Linked DNA regions of Mus musculus: region 1 is reported to be linked to region 2. The links are microRNA targets in miRTarBase. Many come from high-throughput screens and were not tested one by one. Region 2 holds a microRNA gene; the other region holds the end of a gene's coding sequence.
Evidence for each region. The annotated mature microRNA mmu-miR-1941-5p reads AGGGAGAUGCUGGUACAGAGGCUU and lies in region 2 at 1,984-2,007, shown strand. An mRNA with a match to its seed (bases 2 to 7 or 8) in the 3' UTR can be bound and repressed. Matches are read on the target gene's strand: a 7mer-m8 pairs with bases 2 to 8, a 7mer-A1 pairs with bases 2 to 7 and ends in A, and an 8mer does both.

Region 1 (3,000 bases), not on the chromosome of region 2:
TGCAGTTGGGCTTTGAGATTTCCAAAACCTACACCATTCCCAATCTCTCAATCTGGATTTATGAATCAGATGTAAGCTCTCAGCTACTCCTCTAGTGTCATGCCTGCTCTCATTCCTTCCTACCATAATGGTCATTGACTACCTCTCTAAAACTTTAAGCAAGCCCCCAATTAGATGCTTTTTTCTATAAGTTGCCTTGGTCATGGTGTTTCTTTACAGCAACAAAACAGTAATTAAGACAGTTGTTTTGTTTCTTATAATTTCTAACACCAAAAAAATGCATTTTAAAATATTTTTATCTTATTATTGTATGTATGTGAGTATAGCCATGTATGTGTTATAGCTCAGTATGAAGGACAGAAGACAACTGTCCAGAGTTGGTTCAGGCCTTCCACCATGGATTCTAGGAATCAGAGTATAAAAAAGGCCTATGCCACATAGCCACCTCTGGCACTTGCTGTTCCCTAGTGTAAGTTCAGTTAAAGAAGGTTCTCTCCTCTCTTTTTCAGGGTGCTGATAAGACTGTGAAAGGCCCAGATGGACTGACCGCCCTTGAAGCCACTGACAACCAGGCAATCAAAGCTCTTCTCCAGTGATAGATGGATGGACGGACTGATAACTTGGGAAGGATGACTCTCCTGTGGCCTCACACTGCTGCCTGTCTGTCTGTCACTTTCTATCTGCCAGCTTCTTCAGCTAAATACTTTAAGAGGGTGAAGGGAGAGAGAAATTCATAACAAATCAGACTGCCAGGGGAGGGGAATAAAACATGTTTTGGAGGAGCAGTGGGGAATGTGATGAGACTTTTACTGGGATTCCTGATCAAACCAGCCTGTTTTTCATTTCCAGTAAAATATACAGCTTATTCCCAAGGGAGAGCAAAAATACAGTCTATTGGAATCATTGGACCTTCTCAGCTCCCTAGCTAATTTATTAATTAGTTTATTGAAGGTCTGACTATACAAGGCCAACTCTACTTATTTGGTAGCCCTAGCTGTGAGCAGTAGTGGCTGCTGTTATGTCAACATAGGGTGCTGAGATAAGCAATTAGCTATAGCCTTCTGCCTTAAGAATGCACTCTCCTGGGGGCTCCTGGCTAGTTAAGAGCGGTTAGTGACCAAAATCTCTCTAGAATGACGTTAATCTTTACATAAGAGCTTAGATAAGGTAAGGAGCAGCGCACTCCTGAATTGCTGGATGACTAAACTTTGGATTTTCTCTCCCCTTTCACATCAATTTCATGTCTCTTTAGATAAAACTGACTAGTTTTATTTATAAAATGTTAAATTCTAGGAGCCTAAAGGAGGAATCATTCCAGTAGGCTTATTTCTTTTTTTCTCCTTTAGACTCAGACATTTATATAACATTGAAACACTTTGAGACTCCTTCTGGTAGTAAAGGAGATTTAAAAATAAAATCATAGCCATAAGCGTGTTAGTATCTTATAAAGAGAGAACAGTTGTCTTAGTACCTATGGAGTTTCTTCATTTGCTATTTGAGTGAGCCAGCCTTCGTTGTGTTTGGAGAATGAAGAATATTCTTTGGAATGCCTCTCAAAAACCCACCATGGATGCTGATTTTATAGTGCACCAAAGGTATCACTGGGGTGAGATGTACTGTATTTGGACAGATGGGACCTCATCCCTTCAAAAACATTCTTGTTACCATGTTCTCCTGAGCTGGTAATAGACTCTTGCTGGGCCAGTACCACCCCACCTGCATGGTGTTTTTATCTTAACAATCATTCTTTGCATACATGTGACAACTTCAAAATGCATTCTGTGTTCTTATAATACAGTGCCCTAAAACGGTATTCCTAGGACCTGCAGATAAGAGAAACTTATCTCTAACTTTTTCTTTCATGAACAATAAAATGAATTAAAACATACAACCTTAAATTTGATGGCCTACACTTTAAGTATTAAGATGTCTTTTGCTTTTAATTTGCCATCTATACAGGATTACAAAAACTATTAGAATCTTTCCATAGCCAATCATGCAATAATTGAATGTACCTCAAATTTTTAAAGGGTAGGTGATGGGATAGGGACTTATAATCACATTAGGGATAATAATATTAAAAACCTAACTGATTTTTTTTAAGGCATTGTAGCATTATATAGCAGGGTTAAACTATTACTAAGAACAATCAGCCTGGCTAATAACTATTAATCAGTTGATAATTGGTTGGGGTGTGTGTGTGTGTGTGTGTGTGTGTGTGTGTGTGTGTGTGTGTTCTCCCATGAACTCTTTTTTATCCTGTGGCTTTTTCACTTTCAACTAGCCTGCCCCTGTAGTTTTTCTATGTCCAAGAAAACAATCACAAAACAGTAGTTTAAATACTTTGATATATTTGGCTAGCTCTGCTGTTTTAATGCAGCCTACTAGAGTTGGATATCCTACACTTAATCTTAACCAAAAGGCCAAGCAGCTATAGAGTTGGACATTCTGCTAGGAAGTGGAAGGCACATGATCAGTCTATGAGTCAATATAATGCAACAGGGTGTTTTGAGACCTTTGTTTTCACCTCTTGGCATACTATTTTAAAGGCTTGAATTTTACCCTTTACACAATTTTCAATTTTTCTTTCAAAGTCTTCTGTTATAGTTGGCTATTGCAGAGTGTATATTGTCTTATCATTCCAGAACTTGGGTCTGCTTTCTACAGTCATTATGGTACCAAAACCATATGATTCTTTGTACAGTTTATCCCAGTGTTCCTTGTAATGCAGTAGAGGCTATTTTGCCTTCCCCCTTTGTTGGCCATTTTGTAAACCCATAGCTATGAAGTGATTGCTTGAGAAAATAGCATATAAACATAGACTAGGATAGACTGACCAGGATGGTTTACAGTTTCTTTAAAAAAATAATAAACAAAAATAAACAAAAAAAAAACTAGGTTATTTATAATGTATTTCTGAACCACTTGGCAGAGAAATTCATGACACTTAATGTTAATATTTTTGAATAAATGAAGCTAAAATGTCTGCTTTTGGTACAA
Region 2 (3,148 bases):
TGGCTGTGGACTTGTTAGCCCCCCACCGGCAGGAGCCCCAGAATCTGAGGCACAGAGAGGGTAAGTGACTTACTTAAGGAAACACAGACTTCAAGGCAAGCACACACCACAGTGGTAGGCTTTTCTGCCGGGCTCTAGAGGAACGACTCCCTTCGCTTCCACAAGCACTCGTTTCTCTGGGAGGCAGAAGGCTTCGAAGGGGGAGAGGAGTGGAGTCCTCCTTCCTCTTCTCTGCTCAGGATCCCAGCCTTGCTCTGGGCCTGGAATCCATTTTCTGTGCTTTCCCTGCCAGTACTTCTCTCTGAAGCCTGGGCTGTGCCTTGCCCTATGGCCCCTCCCCATCCTTTCCCTTCCTCTTCGGGCCTGCGGTGTGTGTGGCTAGGAGCTCCCTGAATGAGGCTTATTTGCTCAGAAAACTTGCACTATCTGCTAGATGTGTTCCAACTACTATTCAAAAGTCGTCCCATTTGATTGAGAAACCCATTACATGGATGTGCACTGAGGCCCAGAGAGGTTCAGCAGGTTGCCTGCAGTTACACAGCAGACTGGTGGTGGGTCCAGGGTTCAAACTCAGAAATAGGGTTCTAATACTTTTTTAGTCCCTTGGGGTCTCCCAAGCCTCTGCTTAGCACAGGGCTGGAACCCATAGTTCCCTGTACCCTACAGTGATGGGCACCCCACCTCAAGGCCAACTTTGAGAGCTAGGAAGCTTGAGTTCTGCTAAGGACCTTCAAGGACCCTAACTGTGAGGGCTCCTTCCCTGGGCCCACACCCACGGTTCCCACCCGGTGCCCATGGCAGTGGCACAGAGTGACATCAGCATTGGCAATCGTTCGAAGGAGAGAAAAGCCACCCATGGGAGCCAAATTACATAGTTCAGCGAAGCACTCCTTTTAAGGGATTAGCCAGGCTTGTCAAGGAGGCACCTCTGCAGGGCCTACCTCTCAGGCCGTGGGTTCCATCTGCAGCTGTGGAAAGGTCTTCTTGCTCCTCCCCCAATGTGGGCATCTTGGATGTAAATGAGGAGACTCTGAACTAGTCAGAAGAGGCAGGGAAAGACACCATTTCTGCCTCAGATCTCTCTCTCTCTCTGTCTCTGTCTATCTGTCTGTCTGTCTGTCTGTCTGTCTGTCTGTCTGTCTGTCTGTCATACACACATACACATCATACACATCATACACACACAGACCTGAGTTTAAATATAAACCGTATCAGTTGTTGGCTCTGTGACTCTGGGCAATGCAATGAGTCTCTCTGGTCCTATTGCCTCATCTGCACAGCTGGGAAAACAACGTTTGTAGTGATGTTAGTTAGCACTGGCCCACCGCCGCCTTGCTACGTTCCTGTGGCATTCAGGCATCCAGGCCACACGTGGCACTCTCTTCTCACTGCCTGTCTGTCTGTACACCCCCACAGCTCAGGACCCCAGAAATGTGCAAGGGTTTGCAGACTCAGAAACCAAGAGGCAGATAAGGACTGGCCAGGGTTCCCTGTTCTGCGCAAAGTCATGAGATGTCTTTCTTTACAGTTAAGGGGATTTGAGGTGAACCTGTGAGGTGCCCTGTGGTGCCTAGCACACCAGTGTGTAGTTCAGTCAGTGCGGCTCTGACACAGGAGGAAGCAGGGCTGGGAGGATTGTTCACAGAGGCTTCTTGGAGTGGTTGAGTGGGCACAGGCTTGGAAGGTAGACAGGACTTCCTGAAGCCCTAGGCTAGCTGCAGGCAGTGAGTCTAGGAAGTGTGGGGGCCATGTTGTTAGGGGCCTGTTCCTTCCACCTAGGTGAGTGCAAAGCAGGCCAACTGTTGGCTGCTGGCTGGATTCTGACACAGTCCTCTACATTCCTTTCTCCTGACAAGCCAAAGTTGCGTCTTTACTCATACAAACTCCATGGCAGCCTCCTTCTGCCCCCGCTCCCACCCCCACCCCTTTGGACCTGCCAGAACAGTGGCTCTACGGATGAATGGGGAAAGCCAGCAGGGTGGGAGGGAGATGCTGGTACAGAGGCTTGGGGTTTTGAGGGCATCTTAGCAGTATCTCCCATCCACCCACCTGGGCAGAAGTCAGCAGGCCACACCTCCATAGGCCATCCCGAGAAGCACCCCTTGACTGTTACAGGGGTACACGGAGCCCTCCCATCCCCAGCCAGGTAGTGCACCCTTATCCAGTACCCCGCAGAGTCACCCTGAAGTTCCTTTCACCCCAGACACCAGGATGTATCAGGTTTCCCTAACCCATCTCTGCAGGTTTAGCCATGCTGCATCCCCATTGGCTGGGATCAGGGGCGGGGCATGACCGATGCTCAGGGAACCACCAGCCAGGTCACCTGGAAAGCCTGGGGCCCTTCTGTTTTGGTGCCCTCTCCCACTTAGCTCACCTTGCCAATCAGGGAGGCAAATTTATCATTGAGAGCCTTCATCTCCTCCTTTTCTTGATTCTTCTGCTGTTGAACAGCTGGATCCACCTTGAGGTCCAGAGGCACCAGCAGGCTGGGGTTCACAGTCACCTTGGGGATGGTGCCAGCTGGCCTGCAGCTTGTGAGGCTTCGAGAGCTGAAGCCAGGCCCAGGGAGCCCACAGCTGCCCCATCCTGAGGTCCCAGGCTGGGGACTGCCCGCAGGGGTCATCTCACAGCCGCTGAGGCTGCTGAAGCCAACGACGCAGGAGCGGTAGGCCATGGTGGCCCCCCTGGGCCTGGGAGCCGGAGGGCTCACCAGTGAGCTAGGGAGATTTGGAGTTGGTGGCTGGCAGCCGCCTCCTGTCACATCCAGGGCCGGCTGGGGACTGAGGCGAAAACACCTGTTGCATAGTGTTCATTAGCTACAGGAGGGCGGGACTCCTCCAAGCCAGACCAACCTGTTAGTTAGATGATGTGGCTCCCGCCCTCCCCGTACCACAGCTTTCTGTCTGCCCTACAGGGGCTCTGCCTTGTTGAAGGGGCTTGTCACAGTCCCCTGCAAGAGGGGCCTGACTGAGGAGGGGGCCTGCGGCCGGGCTGGCTGGGTGGGGCAGGGTGGGGCCGGGTGGTCAGTGCCAAGAAGGCGAAGTTCTGAAGGAAGGAGCAGGGAGAAAGGCGGGCAGCCAGCCACAGATCACGCTGCATACCGAAAGGCTGACGTATCTGGGCTCGCATACTTCTGGAAAAGATGAAG

Region 1: miRTarBase lists Mtpn as a target of mmu-miR-1941-5p. Seed matches in the 3' UTR shown: 7mer-A1 at 2,237-2,243.

The regions. Positions count from the first base shown.
Region 1 is chr6:35,509,827-35,512,826 of GRCm38, reverse strand. Mtpn (myotrophin) reads left to right here. Exons shown (of 4, transcript NM_008098.4): 4 at 510-3,000. The coding sequence ends at 596. Among named protein-coding and RNA genes, the nearest start is that of Mtpn, 29 kb to the left of the region's middle.
Region 2 is chr15:101,367,381-101,370,528 of GRCm38, forward strand. It overlaps Mir1941 (microRNA 1941), which reads left to right and starts at 1,972; the gene lies at 1,972-2,054. Krt80 (keratin 80) reads right to left here and starts at 2,782. Exons shown (of 9, transcript NM_028770.3): 1 at 2,375-2,782. The coding sequence starts at 2,674. The region is part of intron 1 of Gm35853 (a long non-coding RNA gene); the gene reads left to right.